Sus scrofa: one gene and its partners. The protein of the gene in region 4 interacts with the protein of the main gene of each other region in a pairwise test. Links are inferred from orthologs where the notes say so. Each region holds a gene or a part of one and is shown on either strand. Other genes may lie near its edges.

Region 1 (3,928 bases), on a different chromosome or scaffold from region 4:
AGGCACCATTCAACAAGTTAATGACTTAAAGAACCTTAGAACCCCTGAAAGTCATTCTCCTCACCACTGCAGATACCCAATTATGGGCTTCATGGTTATGATGAACTAATGTAGCACAAATAGTCTGGGTTTATCACTTCTGCTACAGACTAAGACTAAGAATACTCCAGGACAAAAGTCCTGCTCCTACACAATAACCTATATACTGCAATACACACCTCCAAACTTGAATAAATAATAAAAACCTATTTAACTACTGCCTTCCCAAAGTCTCCAAGTAGCCCTTTTAAAATGCCTTTCTACTCAATTCTTTGTGTCTGGCATTCAGGAAAGACAACTCAATAAATTCCATCTATACATACCTTCAAAATTACCTTTGTGCTGAGTTCCTCTGTTCTTGAAATGTGGGAGTTTGAAAGTGAAACACTTTTTATAGTAACTAGTTCAGCGACATCTAAAGGAGTCTTTTGGGTTAACATTCACGTACAGACTGGCACAAGTAGCCAGGCACACAAGGAGAATGTGATTATGGTGTTAGGTTATCCTTAACCAGAACCACTGCAAAAATAGACTGTGTTGTCCAAAAACTAATTCTTTTTTCTCTCTCCTCTCTCCATGAGTTCTCGAAGGAAGGCACTTTAAGTTGAAAAATGACTTTAATGCTAAAACATTGTCACAAATAGTCACGAAACCATAAAAATTCCTCTTACCCTCCGTTTCTATAAGGTAAAACAGAATGATACCACCTTCCCAAAAGTAATGATAACACTTAGGCACAACATAAAGACAACTGGCCTACAGGGTAACAGATCGGGAGTACGGTTCTGAAGTCACATGCAGGCCAGCAGAGAGGATAAAGAACTGGACACAGGTGAGGATCTGTATCCCAGGTCTGCTCCATTACTATGAGACCCGGAGTAAATCATTCTTTATGCCCAGCTTCTTCTTGAAGAAAACAAATTGAGATTACGATTAGAAAATTGTTGGTAAACTGGCAAGTATTAAACAAATGTGAAAACACGAATGGCAGTAGCATCAACAAAGTTTCTGTGGTAAACTGAGAAACTTGAGTGTGCGAATGAACACGATTTTGAGCACGGGTGTGGAGACAGGGTAAATTTGCTTCCAATCTCTCCTAATCCTCCTCTCTCAGGAGCTCAGAAGGGGGAACAACAGGTAAATGGGAGTATCTGGCTTTGAGAGATCATCAGACATCTGAGCCCTTGAACACAGAAGGAACTTCTCTAAAGCATGACTCAGGATTATCCACAAGGCAAAGCCAAATCCAAATAAACATGTGTATTCCATTTTAAAAAGACTCCAAATATCAAAATCCAAGACACACTGAGAGATTCATAGAAGGATTCACCCAAGAATTCCTTTACACAGTAATGCTTTAGTTAAAATATGATTTATGAAAATTCAAATCACACAAACATTAAAAATGGCTGTCCTGACCACTCAATTCCTAATTATCTGTGGCATTACACAAGATGAAGCATTAGTATGGCCTGACAGTTCCCAACCAAAGAGCAAGTTCTCCCAACATGACAGCCATGAAGGCAAAAAGATTTTTCTTTTCCTAGCTACACATCTGTTCATTTGAAAACATCTCAATCCTGGGCTCAGTCCTGTGCTAAAGGCTGTCCCCTAGAATCTTTCCTATCTTGGGATCATTCATGTACTTGGGCATTTGTGACAGCAAGAAAATCAACATGCCAAGAGAAGAGGAAACAGGAAGGGGCAACTAGGCTTCCCCAAATATTCTTAGCCAAACTAGGTCACTTCGGGTCTCTTGGCCCCTCAAATCTCTTCTATTACAAACCCCTAAAATTGGATTTATCAACTTGTTATAGAACAGCTATATGTGAACAGCAACATAACTTCAGCAGAACATCCAAACAAGATCTCTGTTTCATTTGCGCGTCACCACCCCCCGCCCCGACACAGCCTCCGACAGCCTGGCAGGTGCTTCAGGGGCTCCCCATTAACGCGGCCATTTATCACCTCTGACAAGCAGCATTAAAAATGCCCTGACACATACAAATCTCAGCCTAAAGAACTCAGCTGCGGTCAGAGTGTCTCTTTGGGGCAGAAAATCCCCAAATGTCTTTAAATTAAGACAAATAGGGGCGAATAAGCACCACCCCCAAAACAACCATTTTCGAGCAAACCTCGAGGTGCCCCCGAGCGGGCCAGATTGCACTTTGCCCGCAGGCGGAGCCCCCAGTCCCGACCCGGCCCTGGCGAGGGATAGGAGACGCTCAGGGCCCGGGCAGAGGGCGCGCACCGGAGCCCCGAACCCGGGTCCGCCGAACCCGCAAGTTCCCGCCCGGCGGGCTCCGGAACCTCCGCACAAGGCCGGCCCCTCGGCCGCGGACAGCCCGCCGCGGGCTCGTGCCAGCCCCGGAGCGCGCCGCCCGGGCTCCCAGCGGTCCCCTCAGCAGGGCCCCGCCACCGCCCGGCTTCCCTTCAACCTCCCTCCCCCGGCCGCTTCGCACGGGCTTCTAGTGCCCAGCCCTCCCGAGCCCCGGGCCCCCAAGCCGTGGGCCCGCCCCTACTCACTGCGCGGCGGCGGCGGCGGCGGCGGCGGCGGCGGCGGCAGCTGCCGGGCCGGGAGACGCCGGCGGCCGGAGAGTGAGACCGCGAGGACGAGCGAGCCCGCTCCCGGAGGCGGCGGTGGCGGCGGCGGCGGCAGACGGGACGACTGAGCCCGCGCCCGGAGTTGCGGCTCCAGCCGCCCGGAGCGGACGGCGCCTCCCCAGTAGAAACGCGGCGCCGCGAGCGAGAGCGCCCCCTGACGGCGGCGCGGGCGGGTGGCCGGAGGGCCGAGCGGCCAGTGGAACTCAACCAGGCGTAGCCTGGGCTGCTTGGTTAGGCCTGCTCCGCCGCAGCCCCAAAGCCCCGCCCTGACGCCCCAGAGGCTCCGCCCGAGACTCTCCGCGTCCCGCCCAGAATCCGCCCTAGGTCCCGCCTCCGCCGGCAGTTTGGAATCAGCCCAGCCCAGGGCAGTCTTCCCAGTGTTCTCAGGCCTAGGATACCCACAGCTGTTTCTTCTGTCATTTAACCAACACGTATGGGGCCCTGCCCATGTGCCAGGCCTGTGGGGAGAGCGGCCACCAAGAGGCAGGGACGTCCTAAAGAGAAAAGACCCAAGGAAACAGCCAGTAGATAAAACAATGACAAGCTATGATCATTATGTATTGGGAGGTACATGATCAGAAGAATTAGATGGAGATATAAGCGGAGGGGGCCTCTGCTTCAGGTGCGGTGGCTAAGGAAGACCCGGACTGTGACCAGAGCACCTCTGGGCCTTGCGTTCTGTGGGATTGGTAGTAAAGTCACTTATCCAGCCTGGTGGGCACAATAGGGAAAGGCAGCCAAGCCTGAAGGGTCAACGTGGGAGGCCAGGGGGGTAGAAGGGCAGAGGTGACTTCAGCAGAGAAAACGACCAATGCCAGGGCTCCGAGGGCTGAAAGAGCTGTCCTTAGATGACCCTGGCGCTGGAACAGCCCTCATTTCACCATGAAGGAAGCCAAGGCTGCAGAGAGGGGGCCATTACCTAAAGTTTCAGAGCTAAGTGATCTCCAAGCATAGCCTCCAAATTCCATTCGGTTCCTGCTAACCAGATCTCCATCCCTTTCCAGGTGAGACCAGGTATGCAATGTTGGTTTTTTCCATTTCCCCTTCACCAGGATAACTACTTGCCTTGGAAACTCACCTGTACTTTATGTCTGCCTATGCATCAGCTGTCTCTGGGGTTTAATTTTATCTGCATCATCATCACAGTCATATCTTATATTTAGGTTTTCTCTGAAAACTCAAATCAATAGACTAAATAAATGACATATGCTTCATCAACATAATTGAGTGCTACATTATCATACTGAAAAAGACTACGTGAGGATACAGGTAAATGTGTGTGAAA
Region 2 (4,170 bases), on a different chromosome or scaffold from region 4:
TTTATTTATTTGGTCCTTTTTTTTTTTTTTTTTTTTTTTTTTGCTATTTCTTGGGCTGTTCCCGCGGCATATGGAGGTTCCCAGGCTAGGGGTCGAATCGGAGCTGCAGCCACCGGCCTACACCAGAGCCACAGCAACGCGGGATCCGAGCCGCATCTGCAACCTATACACAGCTCGCAGCAACGCCGGATCGTTAACCCACTGAGCAAGGGCAGGGACTGAACCCACAACCTCATGGTTCCCCGTCGGATTCGTTAACTGCGCCACGGCGGGAACTCCAAGATTTTATTTTAAACGGGCAAATTGAGGTGCATTGTCTAACATTTATTTAGAAGGGCCAAATAAACACATTTTAATGTGTCAACAAATTATTTAAAGTCCTGGTCTCCCGAAAATTAAATCCTCAGGAGAATCAAAGCTCTTCAGAGAAGACTATGCCAAAATAGGATTACTTTTAACTCTGCAGGAGTCTTCTGAAGGGGAAAAAAAAGGGTTAAAGTGAAGGAAATCATTATTTAGACTGGATGCTATTCTTCCAGAACAAATTAAGAGCCAAAAGAGAAAACTCAGAACTGAGAAAAGAATGCTGATGGGGGTGGGGTGGGGGAGACCTGGGTTCAAATTTCACTTTCCATCTGCCTGCTGTGAAACAGGCTGCTGAAACTCTGGGAGTCTCTGGTTCCTCCTATGCAGAAATGGGCTTCATAGCTGCCATCACAGGGCTCCAGGCACATTAAGTGATAGTACCTGGATAAACAGGGTCTAGCTCCCCTGGCCTCAGGCTACCTTTCCAGCTCTTTACAACCTTTTCCTCCTACACAACCCGCCCAGAAGGTCAACAGCCAAGCTGAATGAGGTCTGTATGTTGCATGGTTTACATCACTTAAAATATTTTTTAATTAGCTACTGCTAACATTTAAAAATCAAGAGAGTACAGATACAAATGTAGAGTTCTGACTTTAAAAACCACCGGGTGAGCTAGATCTGGTTCTCCAGGGTCCCTCTAACTCCAACCTCTCTTACACCTAGCCCCAAAGGCTGATTCCTGAGCCACATTGGGGAGGAATCCTTTCCCTGCCCTTTCCCACTTCTTGCCTCCCCTTGCCTGACAAATTTCTCATCATTGTACAAGGCCCAACTCCAGGACCACTTATCACCCCCTCCACCTTTCCATGGCTCAGCCCCTCCTCTACAGCAAGCTGTCCTAGCACTGTCTGCATATCAGCCTTCTTTACTGGGCTCTTGGGCTCTCTGGAGGAAGGGACCCTGTTGCTATTGGCTTTATGTCCCCAGGGCAAAAAACCTGACCTAGATAATGCAGAGTTCAGTAAATGCCTCCTGAATGTGTGCAAGGAAGTTAGAGCTAAAAATCGTTATAAAAATGCAAGATTTTATATCACAGCTTGTTCTGACAGATACCAAATAAAGGGGTCAAGGACATTAAAAATGTTCCACAAAAACGAGAGCAAGCTTCCATTTGCATACAAGTTTCACAAGTTAGTCAGAAGTCACTAAATGAACAGAGGCAACAGGTGGGCAGGGTCATTCATTCATTCATTGAACTGGTATTACTAAGTACTTACTGTGTGCTTTCTAAGCACTGGGATAAAGCAGTGGACAAATCAGACAACTACCTGTTTTCATAAAGCTACATCCTAGTGGGAGAGACAGAAAATAAACAGGCAAATCAATAGAATAGCTTTAAACCAGATACTAAGGGGAAAATTAAACAACATGAGATAGAATGACTAAGGGAAGAAAGAGGGTGGTCAAGGAAGGCCTCTAGTAAAATGAGACATCTGACCAGAAGAAGGACCAGAAGGAGCCAGCCGTGCCAAGAGCCCAGAGACAACGCCAATTGCTGGAAAGAGCCAGTGCAAAGGTCCTGAGATAAACAGGGCTGCCTGTTTACAGCAAGTAAGACAGGTAGGCTAAGAGAGCAGTGCTCTGGGTTAGGGGAGTGGGGAGAGCTGGGGGGGGGGTGGGCAGGGCCCGCTCAGGCGTTGCTGGGCATGAGTGTGCAATGACGAGGCACTGGAGGAGCTAGAGGATGGGGGCCTCTGGGCAGAAGGGGCGGGGGGGGGGGGGGTCTTGCCACACTCGCACCAGCAAGGGGCAGTATCCCGCCCAATTTTCCCCAAATGTGCAATGAGCTCTTCCCCAGGCGCTTTTACAAATATTCATATGGTCTGACAACAATCCTGTCCAAAAGGATAGACATTTCCCCCACTTTCCGAGAGAAAAAACAAGGAATAGCGAGGGTCAATGCCTTTGCCAAGGTCGCAGGAACCAGACCCCGGGTTCTGAGCATCCCAAAGCGGGTGTGCAGCTGCGTGCCAAACAATCGGGAGGGGTGGCGCCTACAGACCCTAAGGCAGGTCGGCCGAGGCCAGACCTGGGAGCGGGCCCTCAGCTCCCGGCTGCAACAGCCAGGAAGACAGGGGGCTGCGACTAGGGTCGCCAGAATCCAGCAGAACCCGGTTGGCTCCTCAGAACTGGTCAGCCGGCCCCGCGACACCCAACTCCCCACCCCGCCCTCCACTCCTCCACGGACCCTGGCTGCGCGGCCCTCCTGCCGCCCCCCCCAGGCAGGGCTTGGCCCAAGCAGTCCCCGCCGGGCCTAGCCCGCCCGCCGGGCTCACCTCGCCTCCCTGCCGCCGCGCCTGGGGGAGAGGGCAGGCGGGCGGACTGGCGGCGCTGCGCGCTGGCGGGTCGTGGCTCGCGGCTCGCGGCTCCGCTGCCCTGGGCTCGGCCAGCCGCCCCGCCCCGCTCCGCTCCGCCACGCCGCCGCCGCCGCCGCCGCCGCCGCCACTAGCCGCCGCCGCAGTGGGTGTGAGGGGCGCCGGGGCGCTCGGACCCTTCCGGTCTGGCTCCAGCCTCCTCCGCCGCCGCCGCTGCCGCCGCCGCGGCGCCCAGCCTGACAGACCCGCGTGAAGACCAATCAGCTCGCGGTAAGCCTGGCAAGCGCGGCCAATCGCGCTGAGGAGGGGGGGCTACCGTCAGGAGGCGCAGGCGGGGCGGCGGGCGGAGCCAGGCCACTCAGTGCCGGTTTCTGCGGGGACCCGGGCTCCGCGGCCGTACTGCAGGTTGGGTCCGCGCTTGGTGGACTCAGGCACGGCCCTGCGCGCCAGCTGAGTTCGTTGTTGCGCACGGGGGCCAGCAGCGCGGCGGCCGAACAAGGAGGCGGGAGGCGGTGGAGAGGGCAGGCCGGTAGGACGGAGGGCCTGGCCACCGGGCTGCAGGTGCAGACTGGCAGGGACGAGTTGGCCTGGAGGAAGACGGAGCTGGCCCTTTTCGGGGAGAGCCCTCTTCGGGGAGAGCCCGGGGCGAGGGCGAGGAGAAGCTGGGATTTTGCATCCAGGGCCAGGTGGCTGAGGCAGAGGCGGCCAGGGAGTCGGGAGGCGAGATAGGGTCCTTGGATTCCGCTGCTCACTGTGAAGGGGTTTGGAGGAATGCTTCCAGAAGTCGGGGAGGAGGATGCGAGGAGACGGCCGTGTGTAAACAAGTGTCGCGGGCAGATCTGTGACACAGGCGAAGAGAAAACTGGCTGGGGCGCCTGAAGCAAAGGTCAAGCCTCTGTCTCAGAGAATGGCAGAGTTGTAAATGGGAAGAGAGTGCAGAGCTGACGGCCCCCTAGGGCCTGGGGGCTTTTGACACTGACCTCTTGAAGCATCTCCTGCAGCCCTCTTGCCTCTGGGTCGGGTTCCAGCAGGTCTGGAGTCCTGTGAAATGATGGGAGAGACCAGAGTATTGAGTGTTGTTGGATCTGTGTTTGGATAAACAAAGCCAGAAATGAGACAAGAAGGCTGTGCACATTGGAAAAAAGCTCAGAGGTCCGTGGATGGGGTGAGGGGAATTGGACTTTGGGGTGGGGAGAGTGTTGGACTGTGAAGGAGGGACAGCCCTCACAGGTGACCAGGACTACAGGTGACCAGGACAGAGGCCAAACCGGGAGGAAGGAGCAGGATTCTGCAGTGGAAGAGGTTAAGGGGTGGGGTGGCAGAATTTGGAGAGAGTGGCAAGCCTGTGACCCAGGGCCAGGCTGGGGGTACCAGGGCCTCAGAAGAGGGGTAGGATGGAGGAAGGGATCCAGCTATGGTGTCCCCCTCAGGCCACTCCCACTTTGGATACTGAGTATAGCACATCCCTCCTTGAAATTGTAGCTCCTGA
Region 3 (3,500 bases), on a different chromosome or scaffold from region 4:
GCTGAGCCACCATGGGAACTCCATGCTGAGCTTTTGTGTTTGCAAACATATTATCACTTAAATGTGCACTCAGCACGGTAGGGGACTCAGGTAAATAAGACGCACCCATCCCCAAGTCCCTTCTGGAAAGAGGCTAGAACATGTGAGGTTAACACACAGGCTCTGTTGCCATCAGTAGAAACTCAGGGACGTTGCCTGCATGTCCCGTCCCTGCTGGACTTGACCCGACCCTTCGCAGGCCCTTCCGGGCTGCACTTTCTGCGCGTTCCTGGACTTCATGTTGACCATCCCTCTCTCCCACCCTTGTTTTTGAGCAGAAAGTTTTTAAAAAGCCTCATCCGGAAACAGCCTCAGGAGCTGCTCCTGGTGATGGGGACGGGGGTCAGCGCGGCCGTGGCCCCGGGAATCCCGGCGCTCTGCTCGTGGAGGAGCTGCATCGAGGCCGTCATCGAGGCCGCCGAGCAGCTGGAGGTGCTGCACCCGGGGGATGTGGCCGAGTTCCGCAGGAAGGTGACGAAGGACAGGGACCTGCTGGTGGTCGCCCACGATCTGATCCGGAAGATGTCCCCGGTAAGCCTCTCGGCCCAGCCAGCGTGCGGGCGGCAGCAGGCTCTGGGCCAGGTGGTGAAGCTGGGATGGAACGTTTCGATTCCCACCAGCCCACGTTGTGTCCGCGCCTCCCGGAGGGCGCCGGCCAGCCAGAGACGGTTCAGTTCACCAGGGGATGCCAGGCGTGCTTTGGTCCCCCGACGCAGTCTGTGTTAAATGGAGCCTGGATACGTGCGCCGTCTCGGGGGGTTCACGGTGCAGCCCTGGGGGGCTCCTCGAGGGGGGGGCGGGCATCCAGGTCTGTTTCTGGTCTAGGCGGGCCGCCACATCTGCACGTGACGAGACGAGTGGCTCCTAAACATTAAAGACGGGCGAAGACACAGCTTGTTTGTCTGCAGGAGGAGGGGGCCAGCAGAGGAAGAGCAGCTGGTGATACAGGAGGCTGCTGGGCAATGCCCTGGGGTCAGCGGTCCGACAGGCCATGTGGTAGAGGCCCGAGGCGCGCTTCTTCTCATCGAGTTGTTGAGGACGGCCGGCCGTCACCTGCGCCTTGCGGGGTGGATGCTGGAGGAGTGACGAGGAGGCCTGGAGACCAGCACGCAGGGTTCAGGGTTCGGGCGCCTGCAAAGAACCCAGAGTGCGTGGCTTCCACGTGGCCGCACTTACAGTTCTTTTTCTTTTTCTTTCTTTTCTTCTTTTTTTTTGTCTTTTTACGGCTGCACCCAAGACACATGGAGGCTCCCAGGCTAGGGGTTGAATCTGAGCTGCAGCTGCCGGCCTACACCACAGCCACGGCAACACCACATCCTTAACCCACTGAGCGAGGCCAGGGATTGAACCTGTGTCCTCATGGATGCTGGTTGGGTTCTTTACTGATGAGCCACGACGGGAACTCTCTGCACTTACATTTCTGACATTGCAGTCCGGTGGGGGGCAGTCCCGGGGAGCGCGGGGGCTCCCTCGTGGTTCTGCCATCCTCACCGCAGTGTCTGCCTTGTGCTTAAGGTTCGCCACGCTGCCTCCTGCCGGAAAGGAGTGCATCCAGCTAGTGGGGGCGGGGGGCGGCAGGGGACGGGGGGCGGCGGGGGCGGGGGGCGGCCCTTAGGGCTCTGAGGCACACCTCACTTTGTTTTCATGGCCCTGGCCATAGTTTTACCCATGGCCCCCCTGGCTTGACTGGAGTCTGGGAAGTAGTTTTAGCTGGGTGGCGATGCCACGTGTGGCAGCTGGCATCACAGGGGGTGGCTGTGGCTTTTTTTTCTAAGTAAAATGCACCCCATTGGTTTACACATTTTCTAGCACTGCTTTCATGCTTCACCAGCAGAGACCGTGTGACCAAAATAGTTTGCTCTGTGGTCCTTTACAGACAAGCTGCTGAGTCCTGTTGGGGTGGGGGGTGCAGGGTCGATGGGCCGGAGTGGGGCTGCAGGACGCTGGGTGGCTCGGGGCCCCTTAATCAAGGAGAGGAGGGTTGGGAGGTTACATGTGTGTGTTTTCGGGAAGTTCCTTAAAAGAAGAGTCAGGCCGTTCAGAACCAGAACGGTGTGTCCCCGTGGGGCCGGGCAGGTGGAGCGTTGGTTTTATCCGGGCTGGGTTCGCCCGGGGAGGGCCCAGACTGGGAGAGCGTATGTGAGCAGCAACCCCAGTGGCACATGAGGGGGTCTCAGCTGCTTCAGGGGACAAGAGAGGCTGTGGGGACTGAGACGGGCCAGTGGCAGCCAGTTCTGATGGGGTGCCATCTCCCGGGAGCCGGGTGCTAAGACCCGAGCGGGTGGGGGAGAGGCTGGACCAGGGCTTCTGGTAATGACGAGGTTTAGGACGTGGCCGTAGGCGCGGATGGCAGAGGTGGGACGAGACCACTGGAGGCGAGGGGTGAGGAAGGCAGAGGCCATGACGCCGAGAGGGGCGACTGTGTGGATGGGAAACCCACCTCGAACTGTGACAGAAACACCGCCGCCGAGGGGCCTTGTTGGTGAGCGGGTGCCACCCGCACACTCATTGGTCAGGGCATCAGGGTCCCAGGGACGTGGGGAGCTGACTTTCAGTGGAGAAGGAGCATGATGGTGTGGGGAGGGTGGACTGAGGGTGACTGGGGGTCCAGAGGCCGGGGGTGTGGGCATTCCCGATGCGGGGGGGGGCTGGGGTGCAGGCCAGCCGTCCCGCCAGTCCCAGTGCAGGGCTGGGTGAGGGGCGCTCACGCCGGGGAGCACGAAGCACCCCCCTCTGCTCCCTTCACACTGAAACTCTTCGGAGGGGTTGTTGCTGTTGCCGGTGGCCTCCCTCTCGCCAGCGTGGCCCAGCTGGGCTCCCAAGGTGGCTCTGGTCAAGGCTGCCAGTGACTCTCGGTGCTGCATGCAGGGGCCAGACCTCAGCCCTGTCCCGCTGGCTCTCTCCCGGTGTGACCCGATTCCCAGCCCAGTGGGGAAACCGGTACCTCTGTGGCTGTGGCACAAGGAGAGCCACGGTCTTCACTGTGGCCTCTGGGCCCCCGCAATCTGGTTCCGCAATCTGGTTCTGGGACAGGTGCGCTCACTCCCCTCTGGAGACCAGGGCCCCTTGCTGCCCTTGGCCCGGCCTGCGCTGTTCCCTCTGCACCCCCTGCCAGCTTGGATCAGCCCCTCCAGGGCGCCTCGCTCCCCATTGGATGCCCTGTGACCTGTCCACCCTTTGCCCTGCGGGGCCAGCCCCCTCTCCGCTCTGCTTTCCCTGTGGCGCCCGTCACAGCCGACCTCTTACTTAGAGACTTGCATCTTGCCTCGGCCTCTTCCAGAGTTCTAGGCTCTGCGAGGTCAGCGGTTTTCTTTCTGTTTTAAAAACACTGCTGTGTGCCCAGCTCCCGGGCTCTCATCAGCTGCCTAGGTGTGGAGTAGCTGCTGAGAGACGCTGTTTCTCCTAACTCTGGCTCCACCTCTCCGCAGCGCACGGGCGACACCAAGCCCAACTTCTTCCAG
Region 4 (4,247 bases):
AGCAGACGTTTCCAGGCTGAGATAGAATCGCTCAGCTTATGGATGACTTATGAAAAGAAGCTCCTAACTGTTAGGCTTCTAAGTTAAAAAGATGAACTTGTGATCAGGCTGAAGCACACACGAAAGCCACGAAATTTATAGGGCACTTCCTTACAGGTAGATCAGAATCAGAGTGGAGGAGTTCCCATCGTGGCTCAGTGGTTAATGAATCCGACTAGGAACCTCAAGGTTGCGGGTTCTATCCCTGGCCTCACTCAGTGGGTTAAGGATCCGGCGTTGCCATGAGCTGTGGTGTAGGTTGCAGACACGGCTCAGATCCTATGTTGCTGTGGCTGTGGTGTAGGCCAGAGGCTATAGCTCCGATTAGACCCCTAGCCTGGGAACCTCCATATGCCATAGGAGCAGTCCTAGAAATGGCAAAAAGACAAAAAAAAAAAGAATCACGGTGGACAGCCAGGTGACAGCAGCCAGCAGTGCCCCCGTGGATTAGCAAGAGGCAGGGGTCCCTGGGCTAGGTGTGTTCTGTGTGCAAGTTACCGAAAGGTAGCACCGATTCATAACTCCAGGGCAAGACCGCTTAGCTAGCTGATGATCTGTGGTTCTGTTTAGAATTCCATTCCCAGATCGAAGAGTTTCTTTGGCCACCACCGGAGCTGTCAGACCACAGAAGTACCTAAGCCAACAGGCGGGAAAAACAGGGCTTAGAAGAACACCCTTCCAGAAAGGCAATTTCTACATTTTTAACCAGCTGGGTGACTTGGCAGGAGTGACTTAATCTTGCTAATCCTCAGTTTCTTCATCCACAAAATGGGGATGAGAACTATACGCTTATGTCAAGGATTAAATGAAATAATGCAGGGGAGGTCGTTAGCCCAGGACCCAGCTGACAGTAAAGTCTCCATAAGTGAAGTAAGCAAGCAAAGACAGTGCCGCTGCTGATGACCGTGACCTGGAAGAGTAGGTAGAAGAAATCCTTATTGAAACGATAATCCTGTATCTTTAGAGGGTATCTTTAAATGTCTTATCTATATCGTTAAAAGTCTTAGCTAGTGTCAGCCATGAACTCGCTCCCTCTTTTTCTTTGTCTAAAAACATTTGCCAGTGTTCCGTTACGAGAGATGCTGCCTATGGAAAATCTTTGAAAGATTTGGCAAGGCATCGGAGCGAGTCAGGACTGCTTGATTTGTCTGAGATAGATTTCATGCTTCTGAGCTAGAGGCACGCTTCTTCGCAGACTTAAAAATGAAAAGATGCCCAGGATTCTGAGACCCGTCCAGGCAGTGGCCAGCTCCCGCCTGTTCAGGAAGTGGTCCTAGCATGATGATGTCCCAGCCTGGTGCTGACCTGGAGGGGCAGTGACCCTGTGTTTATTTCCTTGTTGATTTCCCTTCCCTGGTTCCAAGCTCATTTTCCCATTGCCTGCAGGAAAACAACATCCAGGGGTGCGGTAGGTCTGATTTGGCAGCTCTAAAGGTGAACAAAAGGATCCTGGCTTTGGCGAGAGCAGGAGGAAGTTGGAGGGGGCCTCGGCCCCATGCAAACCAGAGCAGACTTGTTACCGATGCTCCTGGGTGGCTGTTCTGCGGGGGCCTCTCTCCCCTGGTTGATGGATCAGCTCTGTGCAAAGCCTGCAGACGGGGCCTGGGATGAGCTGATGAACTGCAAAGCGGGGTGGTTCTCATGCGTGTCTGGAAGACAGGCCACAGGAAAGAGGAAGAGTATTTTTCTGGGCTACTGCTGAGTCAGAAAAACTTAGCTCCCAAATGGACTGTACCAAGAGGTCTTACCTGGCTGGAAACTGATTCACAGCACAGCAAAGGTAAGAGGCCTTCTTCCTCCAGAGGGTGGCATCAGACAATTGGAGAAAACTTTGCCCCAGACTATCCCAGCCCAGCCTCCACCCTCACCCCCACTGCACTGCACGCAAACACATGCATACACACACACAGACACACACACACCCAAGATGTTGAGAACCTAGAGATATCTAGGTCTGTCTTTTCCAAAACACTCTAGAAAGGCCTCAGGATATTTGCTCTCTTTAGGCTTGATTTATTTTTTTTCTGCATTCTTCACGACACCTCTTCTTTTATTTTCAAAAATAAAAACTACATATATACATATGTAAATTTTTTTTTTTTACTGGCCAAGCAAGTCAGTAAATCATAAGTAATCCCACTAATAATGATTGGGTTTCTGTGACATTATTCGTCATCAATACTCAAAATACATTCACGCATTTTATCCCATTTCGGCAGTAGAAATAGGCATCATCACTGCACTTTCACCTACAGAGCAACTGAGGCCCAGAGCAGTGGACTTGCCCAGCAGCAGGTAGGAGGTGAGACAGTCCATCTCATTGCCGCTCCGCCTCTTTTCAGCAGACTAGTGACTCTCCTCTCTAAACCAAATACCAGGCTCCATTCTCTGCCACATTCCCAGCACACGATCTGATGAGAGGATGGAACCGGAGCAAGGAACTCCCCTGGACAATCCAGAAACAGAGAGTCACGGGGTCTAGTCCAATACGCCACCGCATTGTATATCCCTGTCTGCTTCTCTCCATAGGCATTGACTCCAGTTCAACAGATGTTGATCAGCGCTGGCCCATGTGCCCAACTCTGGGTCACGTGTCAGGGCGCAGGGCAGACTGGATGCCCAGGTGGTGCTGAAGGAGTGGGAGCTGGGAGAGGAGTTTGTTTATGAGAAGGCTTTCCATGGGAGGGGAGCCTTACACCAGGCTTAGCGTGACGTGCAGACTTATATTGAGGGAGAGCAATGCAGATCAGCGCACCCCTCCCCCTGTCCCCTGGCCGCCCCAGGTAGGGAGGGAGTGAGCATTTACAGCAAGACTGGCAGCGGAGGAGCAGAGGGGGTACTGAGCAGACTGGGAAGGTAGACCATCTGGATATGACTCTTGGTTCTACCGCCTAGTAGCTGTGTCCTGGGGTGACTCAGATAACCCCTGTGACCTCAGTCTTCTGACACGTAAAGTGGGAACAGTGGTGATGCCTATTTCATGGGGTTGTCTTAAGATGTCAATGCGATGATGCATGTGAAATCTTTGCTGGCACCCAAGTGCTCAGTTCATACTAACTATTTAACTGCCATGTACCTGGCTCCATGGGAGAGGAGCCCTACCCTCAACTGGACCACAATATTATGGGTTAGTTGTGTGTAACCCACTATAGGCAGTGTGCTAAGTGCTGTGAGGTCACAGAGGAGGGATCGGTTAAGGATACTTGGTTGAGTGTCCTGGGCGGTCTGTTGAAGGGAGAGGGTCGGAGGAGAGGTTTCATGGCAGAAGCCCTGTTGTAGTAAGGTGGCTTGCATCAAAGCTATACTGATTTGATTTTTTTAAAATATATTTCTGAGTATTTATATAAATGTTTAATTTCCTATAATATACTGACTTGATTTTGAATAGCAACTTCAGCCCCACCAGATGCGTGGTATGACTGTGTTAGTCTGCCAGGCTGCATAACAAAGGACCACAGCCTGGGTGGCTTCACCAACAGAAATGTACTTTCTAAAGTTCTGGAGGCTCTAAGTCCAACATCAGGGTTAGGCCACTCTGCCGGGCTTGCAGAGGGCCCCCTTCTTACTGTGTCTCACGTGGTCATCCCTCTTTGCACCTGCACCCTGGTGTCTCTCTGCATGTCCAAATTTCTTCTGGGAAGGGCATCAATCAGGTTGGATTAGGGTTCACCCTAGGGACCCCTTTTTGATTTACTCACCACTTTCAATGCCTCATCTCCAAATCCAGCCACTTTTTGAGATACAGTGGGGCTTTAGAATATAAACTTGAAGGGACATCATCCAGCCCATAACAATGAGTTTGTTTCTAAGCCTTTCCAAGCCTTTTCACTCAACTAGAAGATGGGGACAGTACTTGACATGGACAGTACTTAACATGGAGACCCACTGTGATCATCACAAAAAAAAGACATGGAGTTCCTTCCCATTGTGGCTCAGTGGTAATGAATCTGACTAGGAACCATGAGGCTGTGGGTTTGATCCCTGGCCTTGCTCGGTGGGTTAAGGTCCTGGCTTTGCCATGAGCTGTGATGTAGGTCGCAGATGTGGCTCGGATCCCGCATTGCTTTGGCTGTGGTGTAGGCTGGCAGCTGTAGCTCCAATTCAACCCCTAGCCTGGGAACCTCCATATGCCACAGGTGCAGCCCTAAAAAAAGCAAAAAAAGAAGAAAAAAAAAAGAACACATGAAACACCTCTCCCAGCCAGTTTT
Region 5 (3,500 bases), on a different chromosome or scaffold from region 4:
TCCCAGCCTGGTCAGTGGAGAGCAAGACAGAGTCCCTACCATTATGGACTCTGTTGCAGGAGGCCAAGATCAAAAAAGCAACCAGACAGACGTAGAGTGTCAGGAAGTGATAACTTGTATGAAGAAGAAACTTAAGCACGGGAGCCGAGGTGATGGGGGATGCATTTCCCAAAGGGAAAGCTCAGTCAGGAAATGCCCTTTAAGCAGAAAGCTGGAAGTGAGGGGTGAGCCTTGTGAAGATGGAGGCAGAGCATCCTAGAAAGAATGGCAAGTGCAAAGCCCCCCATCTGGGGAGGTGCTCGGCATGTTTGAGACACACCAGGGCTGCCAGTGGAGCTGGAACAGAATAAGGGAGGGGAGGAGCAGGGGGGTGGGAAGCGGGCAGGAGGTGGCAGGGGACAGCAATGCAGACTCTGTGGGATCCGGTAAGGACCCATTAGCCTGGTGACCACGGGGTGATTCTCAGAATCTCTGCGATTTTTCCCTTTTCTTACCTGTGAAGCGATGGTAACCACAGAGGGCTGTGACAATTAAAAGCTGATTTGGAGTTCCCGTCGTGGCGCAGTGGTTAACGAATCCGACTAGGAACCATGAGGTTGCGGGTTCGATCCCTGCCCTTGCTCAGTGGGTTAACGATCCGGCGTTGCCGTGAGCTGTGGTGTAGGTCACAGACGCGGCTCGGATCCTGCGTTGCTGTGGCTCTGGCGTAGGCCAGTGGCTACAGCTCTGATTTGACCCCTAGCCTGGGAACCTCCATATGCCGCGGGAGCGGCCCAAAGAAATAGCAAAAAGACGACAACAACAACAGCAACAAAAAAGAGCTGATTTAAGTAAGAGGTTTTGCATCGTGCCTGAGACGCTGTAGTTGGTGTTCCCTGAGACCTGGCCTCCTGGAGCTGTGCCAGTCAGGCTGACCACCTTCTCTGGTCCCCCAGGACGAGGGCTCCTTCCACCTCAAGGACACAGCCAAGGCTCTGCTGAGGAGCCTAGGCAGCCAGGCCGGCCCTGCCCTGGGCTGGAGGGACACCTGGGCCTTCGTGGGACGCAAAGGAGGTGCCGGCACCACAGCCATCCACCCTGTAGAATTAAGGGCCTGGGAGGAGCAGAGCCCCAGGACTTGGGGGCGGGGGGCGAGGGGCAAATCGGAGCCAGTGGCGGTGGGCGGGATGAAAGTGGGCAGGGCGCTGGGAAGAAGCTCCAGACCTGGAGCCTGGGCTCGCATTGCGCCTCATTCCTGCCCCCTGCCAGGTCCTGTCCTCGGGGAGAAACATTCGAAGTCACCCGCCCTCTCCTCCTGGGGGGATCCAGTCCTGCTGAAGACAGATGTGCCCCTGAGCTCCGCCGAAGGTGCGTTAGTGGGGGCTGGGCTCCAGGGCAGCGCCCGGGCTGGGGTGGGCATTTGGGTTCTCTTTATGGGGCTCTATTCTATTCTCTATTCTCTTTTCCAAACCACACTGGCCTCACGCCCCCTCCTGTTGACCTCGTCCCTCCCTCAGAGGCAGAGTGCCACTGGGCAGACACAGAGCTGAACCGTCGCCGCCGCCGCTTCTGCAGCAAAGTCGAGGGCTATGGGAGTGTGTGCAGCTGCAAGGACCCCACACCCATCGAGTTCAGCCCTGACCCAGTGAGTGGGGCCTTGGGCAGTGAGGCCGAGACCCCTTTCCAGCTTGGCAGGGCACCCCAGGAAAGCAGGCTGAGTTTTGCTTACCGCAGCCTGGGAGGGAACCAGGAGCTGAGGCTGACTATGGCGCCAGGAGCCAGGGACGGGGCGTCCTGGTTGTGGGGCAGGAGCAGGCCCTGCGAGCAGAGGCCTGGGGCTGGAGTTGGACTGAGTGTGCGGAGGGGCCAGGATGCTGAAGACCCCCTGTCTTTTTTCCTGGAGCCCCGCTCTCCTTGGAGACTCTTCTCAGATGGGGGTCCCGGTTTGAAGAGAGCGGGAGGCAAACGCTGGACACTGTTTCTCCTTCAGCTTCCAGACAACAAGGTTCTCCACGTGCCCGTGGCCGTCATCGCCGGAAACCGGCCCAATTACCTGTACAGGTGAGCCTGGGAGCGGGCTGTTCCCAGCGCTGCACGGGAGGGTGCTCGGTGGGGGGAACCCCGGGCTCATCGCCCTGCATGAGGAGCACTTGAGGTGGGCGGACGTGCACCCCTCGATGCTATAGGTCCACGTACCCGTGTGGGTGAACGTGGGAAATCGGGGCCCGTCTGTGAGCACAGGGGAGCCCTTATGTGGGGGGATGAAGAGGCCTGATCCATCCCTGGGCTCTCCAGGATGCTGCGCTCTCTGCTCTCAGCCCAGGGGGTGTCGCCCCAGATGATAACAGTTTTCATCGACGGCTACTACGAGGTGAGTGGGGCTCGGGGACTTGGGGCCGAGCAGAGCGCAGGGTTGCGGGTGCTGAATCCCCGGGGCCTGGCCGAGGAGACAGCCCGGGCAAAGGCTGTGAAACGGGCAGGGTGGGGTGTCCGCGCCTGCAGAGGTGGGCCGGGCGGGCGGCTCGCGTGCTGACCGGTGGCCTTGCTCCTCAGGAGCCGATGGACGTGGTGGCGCTCTTTGGTCTGCGGGGCATCCAGCACACTCCCATCAGCATCAAGAACGCCCGTGTGTCCCAGGTACGGCCTGGGCAAGGACGGAGGGGGCAGACCCTGGGCCCTGCTGTCCACCCCAAAGCTCATGTGCCCTATTCCTGCTCCTCACCCAGCACTACAAGGCCAGCCTCACTGCCACTTTCAACCTGTTTCCGGTGAGTGGCACGGGCAGCGCTCGTGGGCCTGGGCAGGAGAGAGCGGGGCATAAGCCTGGTCTTAGCGTATAGCAAGCTCTTCGCCTCTGGGCCTCGTCGTCCTGCTGTGGAAGATGTGGGTCGTGCTGCCCGAGCCGCGGGAAGGAGGTGGGGGAGACGTGGTGGGGGAGACGATCCTTGGGGTCATGTGGTCCCCACCCCCCGCCCAGGAAGCCAAATTTGCTGTGGTTCTGGAAGAGGATCTGGACATTGCTGTAGATTTTTTCAGGTGAGAAGAGTGCTGTCTGTACAGCTCCTGTAAGCAGCCTGGGGCCTCTTGGCTTGACTGGCTCTCCGGTGAGGAGGGCAGTGAGGGGTCTCGGGGAGCTTTCTGGAGGAAGCAAGGTCCAAAGTGGGGGAGAAGCCTGAGCGAAGGAGGGATGGCAGGTGCCGGGGCTGGAGCAGAGAGTAGAAGGAGGAGTGGAGACAGTGGGGCTTGGGGGGGGCGCGGAAGGGGGCACGATTCCTGAGTCCCATCTCCAGATCTTCCAGCACCACTGGGTGCCTGGGTTTGTCCTTGCCCCTCCCTGAACCCCTGGGCCCTGCCTCTCAGTTTCCTGAGCCAATCCATCCACCTGCTGGAGGAGGACGACAGCCTGTACTGTATCTCTGCCTGGAATGACCAGGTGGGTGAGTGGCCAGGGGTCAGCTGGGGCATTTGCAGAGGCCGGAACTAATACGTCCCCCCGTGGCCCCCTGTCCCCAAGGGGTATG
Region 6 (4,100 bases), on a different chromosome or scaffold from region 4:
CCACAGCTCACGACAACGCCAGATCCCCAACCCACTGAGCAAGGCCAGGGATCGAACCCGCAGCCTCATGGTTCCTAGTCAGATTCATTCACCACTGTGCCAGGACAGGAACTCCCACGTTTCTTAATTTTTATATCTTGCTCTTTTGGTGGCTTCCGGAATTCACATCACCGTCAGATGCTCTGTTCTCTCCTTTGATTGGGACTGAAAAATAAGAGTTACTCCTCCAAGCCTCATCTTCTGCCACTACCAGGTAACTCACCCCGCCTCATACAGGAATCAAACTACTTCGCGTTGCAGGGAACACGATGCCCACGCCTCCGTTCCCTCGTACGTGCGTGCTGTTCCCTTTGCCTGGAATGCCCTTGCAATGGCTTCTCTGGCAAACTCCTACTCATCCTCCAAGACAGCTCAGATAACGCCACAGCGTTCTCCGAGAACGCTTTTCTGAGATGGGAGGAGCGGCGACCCCTCGCCTCTCCTCAGCCTTCTCCAAATAATTCTGACCGTACTTATGGTATTATTTGTTCTTTCCCTCCTATAGATCTTGAATTCGTTTCTGTGCAGAAAGGGCCCGGATTTCTGTTCTTAGTTGGACCCTCTATACTTGACACAGTGCTTAGAATGTACTAGGCACTTGGTTCAATCGATGAGCGAACGAATATGTTCATTCACCTAACGCAGCAGAGTTTGTTTGGACCAGATTCTCAAATATTTCCAGACCTGATCCTCTATTTGGCTTGCTTCACGTGGGAGGGAGATTCCCCCCCAACCCCGCCAAACTGGGTTGGTGGAAGGGGAAAACGAAGTGATTAGGGTGTGCATAAAAGTCCTTTCTTGGCTGGGGGAAAAATGTAATTGTAATGTATACATGTAAGGATAACCTGACCCCCTTGCTGTACAGTGGAGAAATAAAAAAAAAATAAGTTGATATCGGCCATCAAAAGTAATATGACAATTGAATCATGCAAATGTGGGGCATAAAAAAAAAAAAGTCCTTTCTTTCGGAGGTGAGTTGTAATTGACCCGCTCTGGCACCGAAAGGGTTACGGCGACCCAGGGGTGGAGCCCTGTCGGTGCCACCTGCTGCGGGGCGGCCTGGCGCCTGCGCTCTGGCCTGTAGCTGATCTACCTGCGGGGGGCCTGGCGGAGGAGGAGCGCTTGCGCTCTGGGCCTTTTCCGCCGGGGGAAGTCTCGCGGGGGCGGGGCGGGGCGGGGCCGCACAGGGAAGTTCTCGCGGGACCCCGACCAGGAGCGGAAGCGAGGCGGCTGTGCTGCTTCAGCTACCGGACCGCGGCGGCGACGACGAAGACTGTGGCGGTGACGGCGGCGAGAATAGGCGCTGCCCTCGGGGAGCAGCAGAGGGGTCTGCGGCCGCTCGCACCGCTGCAGAGGGGCCGGCCGGGCGTGGAGCGGAGCAGCTGCGCCACGGTGAGTGTGGCTGGCGGCGACGGCGCTGCTCGCGTGCTGCTTCCTCCCCGCTTCGTCGCGGGAGTCGGCCCCGGGGGACCGGGCCCAGGGTACCGTGGGCTGCCGGGCCTGGGGGTCGGGAGTGCGAGGCTCCGGGCGGGGAGCGGAGCGCCCGGGCTCCGGGCTCCATGTTTCCCCTTTTGGGGCGCTTCCTTCCCGGGGACCGTCCTCTCAGTACCCTTGGCTTGGAACAGAGCCCTGGACGAGAGGCTGGGGGCTCCTGATTTAATTTTATGCTTTCTTCGTGAAGGTTTGCACAGGGGGGACCCGGAGAAGCCCGAGAACACAGGGTAATCATTCTGTGAGTCAGTGTGACTTGGCCCGGGAGGCGGGGGATTCGAGGCGGGTTGCAAATATGGTGATTGATGCTCCTTCGACCTATACGGCCACCACGTCACCAACTCCTGGTGTTTGGGGGCCGAATTTTGGGAGGAAACCCACCAACCCTATTAATACTGTGAGCGAGGACGTTTGTTACCGGAGCCAGTAGAAATACCTTTACTTTTATTGCGCTTTTTTTTTTTTTTTGACTGCTTCCCTAAAAACATTTGTTAAGAAAAGTAAGCAGCAGTTAATCGGAATGCTCCGAAGAAAGATTTCCGTGATCGAGGGCAGAGAATCGCTGGCACTTTTCATTTGCAGCTCTCTCTGTGTATAGGATTGTAAAGCCATGCTAGTTAACAGCTTATTTAGGGAGTTCACCTAGGCTGGCTTCAGATGCAGCAAAAGTATACTTTGCAGAAGAGCCGAAGTGCCCTCGCGGGTTCTGTCTTTTGCTACTCTTGAGTCTCAGAAGAGGGTGGAAAAGAAAGGCGCACTAGAGAAATTCGCTTTAGTCTTCTGGGCTTTCTAGTCCCTCTGTTCACTTTGCACTCCACAGTTGCTGCCTTTCTAAACTTCTCCCTTGTCTTCTGCGGCCACGAAATGCTTACTCCGTATAATGCAAGTCACTTGCCCCCTCCCCCCTTTTAGTCTAATCTACTTCCCCTTCCTCCTTATTGTCCCTTTTGGCATAATTTTTTGAGGTTTCTGCTCTTTCGCCCGTTCGTTTTTCTCCCTCATTTAAAGATTCCGTTTCTCTCCCGGAAAGATGATGCCCTCTTCCCTGCTTTATCCTTTGCTGTGAAGCGTCCACTGTGTTTCTTCAGTCAGCCAGAAGGGTTGCTAGAGAGCTGTGCGAGACTTAAGGTCTCCCCCTGGGAGCTGGGAGGCTCAAAGGATTGAGTTCAGCCGTAACCAATACTGCACTAATACTGCACTAGATCACAAGTGTAGCTTGCTGGTGTTTTTGTGTTTTAGTTGTTTTTTTTCACTTTTAGATCGCATTTTTGTGCCTGCTCAGGTTTTTCTATGTCTCTCTTATGTTAGTAAGGAAGATTGGGTCAATTTGGGGCTCATATGCCTTCTTTTTGGCTTTTAGCGGGGGAGGCGACTTAAAAAATGAAAACCAACCATAGACACCTATATTACAATCAAGAGAGCTTGAACCATTTAAGGGAATAGAATTTATTTAGACTACTGATGAATTAATTAAAGCTTGCCTGTTGGAGTAGTACTAACTTATTCTTTCCCAGGCTTTTAAAGATCAGGTGTCTCTTCCTGCATCTGCTATAAGCAGCCTTCTTTGTTATTGTTGCTGGGCTTGAGGGGGGAAGGCGGTTGACAGAAAGAAATAACTATGTTCTGTTGGCCTTTCCTTTGTTTAAAATGTTCTGAATCCCCCAAATTTAAAAAGGTTAATTCTTGTAATCAGCTTTGTTTGTTACTAAAAGCAAGCACTCAAATGCTTGAGGCAGTTTACTTCCTCAGCAAGTGTGTTCAGATTTGAGGGATTACTAGGTTTTTCAATACAACTAATTGATGGTACTTAGAGATTTTTCCCCGAAATTCTTGTTACCATGTTGCACATTGTGTAGCAACAGTTCTAATGGTTACTTAGAACAAAAAAGTAATAGATTTTGGAGAAATGAAGTAATACGGAATAGAGACCCACTATGGTTTCCTGAGAGAAATTAATAGTTATTCGCTTAATTCAGAAGACATTTCTGGCACTCCTGAATGACTATTGAGAGCCTTTGTTTTTTTTTTGTTTTTTGTTTTTTGTTTTTTTTTTGTCAAAGTTGGCTTTTTCACAGTTGTGCCAAGTGGATAGGCGTTATTTTCAATTTATGCAAAGACATTATGCATCATCTGAGATGTAAACTTTAAAATCTGGTAAAGATACCTTTACAGTACAGCATGATTTTTTAAATTTAGCATGCATAAGAATTACCTATGAATCTTAACTTAAAATTAGGTTCTGGAGTTCCCGTTGTGGCTCAGTGGTTAACAAACCTGCCTAGGATCCACGAGGACGAGGGTTCGATCCCTGGCCTCGCTCAGTGGGTTAAGGATCCAGTGTTGCTGTAAACTGTGGTGTAGGTCGCAGATGCGGCCCCATCCCACATTGCTGTGGCTGTGGTGTAGGCCAGCGGCTTCAGCTTCAATTCTTCCCCTAGCCTGGGAACTGCCATATGCCACAGGTGCAGCCCTAAAAAGACAGAAGACCAAAAAAAGAAAAAAAAAATTAGGTTTTGGGCCTAAGGCCACTGTGCTGCAGAACTTCAGAAGGCACCTCGTAGTGAATCAGT
Region 7 (3,500 bases), on a different chromosome or scaffold from region 4:
CCTGCGGATAAGGGGCTGGAAACACCTAGCTGCATAGCCTGGGGGAGATGGGTGGGCTTTAGCAGGTGCCAGAGAGGAGAGGAGGGAACCTCCTTAACCTTGAATTCAGGCGAGCCTGGGGACGACCTTGGATCATTGGTGGAACGGGCCACTGTAGCAAGAATCTTGACTTTCCATTGTCATTAAGTGGATTGGATAATTTTCATCCGGAGGACAAACTACTAGTTGTCCTCGGGCGTTTTGCTTGGGTGTATGTGGGCTGAGAATGACAAGGTGCGTCAGATCCCTAGGGATGGAAATGCTCAGCTTCACTTCATGATTCTTTTGCTCTTAAAATTGCTCTTTGCCCTCCTAACTGCCACAGTAAATAGCCCCACCTGTGCATATCAACACACAAATGAGCTGTTTTATGCTGCCAGTTCCACACCCCAGGGTCTTGTGGAGCAGTGAGCTATTGCTCTGCTTGGAGTGGGTGAAGACACTTGACCTTGGTCCCTCCTGGCCCCTCGAGGTGCTAACAGACACAGGGCTGCTGCACTCAACGGTTTGGCTGCTCATCCTGTCCGACCACATGGTCCTCATTTCTCGGTTCTTTGCATTTCTAATCAATTTTTTAACAATTGAGTCTATTGTCTGTGTTATTTGAGAGAGGGCACAGAAGATGCCTCATCCCTATTAGCAAATTCTTCATGAGCTGCAGTCTGAGTTTTTCTTTCTTTCTCTTTCCAACCCACCAGTGTGCCACGCCGAGCTGAATGCCATCATGAACAAAAACTCGGCGGACGTGAAAGGCTGTACCATGTATGTCGCCTTGTTCCCGTGTAATGAATGTGCTAAGCTCATCATCCAGGCAGGTAGGACCCGGGCCGTTTCCATTTGTCACATTTGCATTGCTACCTGCTCACTGCAGATGTGTTTGATCTTAAATTGTGATTGTTTAGATCTAAATTAATTGCACTATCAGCTCTGCAAGATATTTCCATGTTTTGTTTTTGAATGGTGCCAGGTATTCTAAGACTAATTGCATCCTCTGTGATTCTTAGCATGTTTTTAATTTGGTTTGCAACTTCTTAAACTGCAAGCTGCCAAAAACAACACAGGCATTGCATATAATTACTGTCAATTTACTATTCTCTGACATATTGTGCATAGATTAGGGGGAGGGAGAGAAATGAACTTCTGTCAGAAACAAGGTCAGCTGGGAGGCTGTATATGAAATTTTAATTTGTATCTAATATCTGGTAGATATTTGAGGACCTAAACATCTCTTTGCATATAAATGTCACAAGACTCAAATGGTACAACTTTACATTTTCCTTGCGTTACGGTTACCATAAATCTACACCCTTGTGTTTGGACTAATTCACCATTCTCAGACTGTCACATCTAAGACTCAGCTACCCTTTAGCTCCATAAAACTCTCAGCTTGAGATTTAAAGACGTAACATGTTAGCCAGATGTGTGGCTTAGCAGGGCTGTTTGTCACAAGCCTGTGGATCTCTGAGCAGAAGAGGTCTGTCGGGATCAGGGTCAAGGGCCTCCGTTAAGGAACATCGTGGGCTTCCTCACTGGTACTGCCCCATCCTTCAGGACTTCTCCTCACCATCCTTAAGCAGAGACGCGGCAGCGGGCATGTGTGGGGATCAGCTTCCCGTGGTCCCCTCCGAGGCTGGTGGAGGAGCAGGGTGGAGTGTCAAGTGCCCTCAAGTGAGCCCCGCTTGGTGAGACAGGGAAGGAAAACAGATCCACCCTCTGTCGAGCTGGCTGCACGCGGTCTGTAGAGCTGTTCTTGGAAGCGCAATGGACCTGATCTCTGATTTTGCCAGTATTTTCCCTAACCCCATTAGCCTCTTGAGTTAGGAGTCATTGCCTTGTGCAAAAAGAATATTTGACTGCCATCAGTAAAGAAAATTTGTTAATCGGATCAAGGCTTGACTATTTGACATGTTTTCCCTTTGCGTGTACTTTTTAAAAAGTCCGTAAAAGACTGGAGGGCAGATTAAATGTAATCCATCCACTGCTGTATTTGAAAGCAGCAGATGCATGTTTGGGTAACTGGACGTCGGGGTGTTCTCTTGCACACTCAGGAAAGGTGCTTAATCAAACACCACCAGGGCTTCTGTCCTTAGGTCTGTTGCACTCTCTCGATGGCCTATAATGAGGTTTCTTCCATTGTTGCCTTTTAAGGGATAAAAGAAGTTATTTTCATGTCTGATAAATACCACGATAGCAATGAGACAACAGCGGCGAGGCTCATGTTTGAAATGGCCGGGGTTTCCTTCAGGTACGTGGGAAGCCCTTGGGGGAGAAGGTGGTGTGAAGACTTGATGAAGAAGTACATTTGACCTTGTCTGACATCTCATGTCTCCTTGTGATGCCTGACTTCCCCACGTGGAAGCATCTTTTTAAACTTGAGGTGCTAAGATTCGGAAGATACTCTAAGCATAGATATTTTTGTTTCTTTTTTTTTTTTCTAGGGCTGCGCCTGTGGCATATGGAAGTTCCCAGGCTAGGGGTCTAATGAGAACTGCAACCACTGGCCTACACCACAGCCACAGCAACGCCAGATCCAAGCCATGTCTGCAAGCTGCACCACAGCTCACAGCAATAACTGGATCCTTAACTCACTGAGCGAGGCCGGGGATTGAACCCACATCCTCAGGGAGGCAACTTAAGGTCCTTAACCCACTGAGCCACAGTAGGAAATCCAGAGAGATTTTAAAATTTACTAGTTGGAGTTCTCATCGTGGCGCAGTGGTTAACGAATCTGACTAGGAGCCATGAGGTTGCGGGTTCGGTCCCTGGCCTTGCTCAGTGGGTTAACGATCCGGCGTTGCCGTGAGCTGTGGTGTAGGTTGCAGACACGGCTCAGATCCCGAGTTGTTGTGGCTCTGGCGTAGGCCAGTGGCTACAGCTCCAATTCGACCCCTAGCCTGGGAACCTCCCATATGCCGTGGGAGCGGCCCAAAGAAATAGCAAAAAGACAAAAAAAATAAAATAAAATTTACTAGTTAACATTAAACCCTTGTAAATTTTTCAGATGTAACAACTCTGACATAAAAAATTCAGGGTGAAAGTAACCTGCCAGGTTGAAACATGGGAATTCTTTCAACAGCAATAGTTTAAATTGAGATTTGGAGTCACTAGGATTTATATGCTTGTCTTTGCAAGGCAGGGATTGGGAGGTATGAGTTACTTGTGATTAAGTTCAACCACCTTTGGTTCCTGGTGGAAACTTCTATTGAGACTGAAAACTTTCTTTTTTTTTTTTTTTTTTTTCTTTTTAGGGCCAAACCCACGACACATGGAGGTTCCCAGGCTAGGAGGCTAATCGGAGCTGTAGCCACGGGCCTACACCACAGCCACAGCAACACCAAATCCCAGCCACATCTGCAACCCACACCACAGCTCATGGCAACGCCAGATCCTTAACCCACTGAGCGAGCGAGGCCAGGGACCGAACCCGAAACCTCATGGTTCCTAGTTGGATTCGTTTCCAC

Evidence for each region.
Region 1: the proteins of LNX1 (region 4) and KCTD6 interact in binary tests that used the Homo sapiens proteins (3 or more experiments, as listed by UniProt). The link is inferred for Sus scrofa from reciprocal best matches to the Homo sapiens genes LNX1 and KCTD6.
Region 2: the proteins of LNX1 (region 4) and MAPK9 interact in binary tests that used the Homo sapiens proteins (3 or more experiments, as listed by UniProt). The link is inferred for Sus scrofa from reciprocal best matches to the Homo sapiens genes LNX1 and MAPK9.
Region 3: the proteins of LNX1 (region 4) and FAM118A interact in binary tests that used the Homo sapiens proteins (3 or more experiments, as listed by UniProt). The link is inferred for Sus scrofa from reciprocal best matches to the Homo sapiens genes LNX1 and FAM118A.
Region 5: the proteins of LNX1 (region 4) and POMGNT1 interact in binary tests that used the Homo sapiens proteins (3 or more experiments, as listed by UniProt). The link is inferred for Sus scrofa from reciprocal best matches to the Homo sapiens genes LNX1 and POMGNT1.
Region 6: the proteins of LNX1 (region 4) and GRB2 interact in binary tests that used the Homo sapiens proteins (3 or more experiments, as listed by UniProt). The link is inferred for Sus scrofa from reciprocal best matches to the Homo sapiens genes LNX1 and GRB2.
Region 7: the proteins of LNX1 (region 4) and DCTD interact in a two-hybrid assay, tested with the Homo sapiens proteins (2 studies listed by BioGRID and IntAct). The link is inferred for Sus scrofa from reciprocal best matches to the Homo sapiens genes LNX1 and DCTD.

What each region holds. Positions count from the first base shown.
Region 1 is NC_010455.5:40,209,369-40,213,296, reverse strand, and holds the start of KCTD6 (BTB/POZ domain-containing protein KCTD6), read right to left. Parts: upstream 2,801-3,928; 5' UTR 2,566-2,800; intron 2,523-2,565; exon of another isoform or gene 1-2,522. UniProt on the Homo sapiens protein: Probable substrate-specific adapter of a BCR (BTB-CUL3-RBX1) E3 ubiquitin-protein ligase complex mediating the ubiquitination and subsequent proteasomal degradation of target proteins.
Region 2 is NC_010444.4:78,337,096-78,341,265, reverse strand, and holds the start of MAPK9 (mitogen-activated protein kinase 9), read right to left. Parts: upstream 2,801-4,170; 5' UTR 2,643-2,800; intron 1,656-2,642; exon of another isoform or gene 1,584-1,655; intron 1-1,583. UniProt on the Homo sapiens protein: Serine/threonine-protein kinase involved in various processes such as cell proliferation, differentiation, migration, transformation and programmed cell death.
Region 3 is NC_010447.5:4,089,085-4,092,584, reverse strand, and holds part of FAM118A (protein FAM118A), read left to right. Parts: intron 1-317; coding exon 318-570; intron 571-3,467; coding exon 3,468-3,500.
Region 4 is NC_010450.4:40,437,735-40,441,981, reverse strand, and holds the start of LNX1 (E3 ubiquitin-protein ligase LNX), read left to right. Parts: upstream 1-1,447; 5' UTR 1,448-1,819; intron 1,820-4,247.
Region 5 is NC_010448.4:165,215,841-165,219,340, forward strand, and holds part of POMGNT1 (protein O-linked-mannose beta-1,2-N-acetylglucosaminyltransferase 1), read left to right. Parts: intron 1-935; coding exon 936-1,347; intron 1,348-1,496; coding exon 1,497-1,624; intron 1,625-1,882; coding exon of another isoform or gene 1,883-1,969; coding exon 1,970-2,040; intron 2,041-2,274; coding exon 2,275-2,350; intron 2,351-2,532; coding exon 2,533-2,616; intron 2,617-2,705; coding exon 2,706-2,747; intron 2,748-2,956; coding exon 2,957-3,015; intron 3,016-3,339; coding exon 3,340-3,412; intron 3,413-3,493; coding exon 3,494-3,500. UniProt on the Homo sapiens protein: Participates in O-mannosyl glycosylation by catalyzing the addition of N-acetylglucosamine to O-linked mannose on glycoproteins.
Region 6 is NC_010454.4:5,939,423-5,943,522, forward strand, and holds the start of GRB2 (growth factor receptor-bound protein 2), read left to right. Parts: upstream 1-1,300; 5' UTR 1,301-1,431; intron 1,432-4,100. UniProt on the Homo sapiens protein: Non-enzymatic adapter protein that plays a pivotal role in precisely regulated signaling cascades from cell surface receptors to cellular responses, including signaling transduction and gene expression.
Region 7 is NC_010457.5:44,468,595-44,472,094, reverse strand, and holds part of DCTD (deoxycytidylate deaminase), read left to right. Parts: intron 1-737; coding exon 738-854; intron 855-2,187; coding exon 2,188-2,284; intron 2,285-3,500. UniProt on the Homo sapiens protein: Catalyzes the deamination of dCMP to dUMP, providing the nucleoside monophosphate substrate for the thymidylate synthase/TYMS.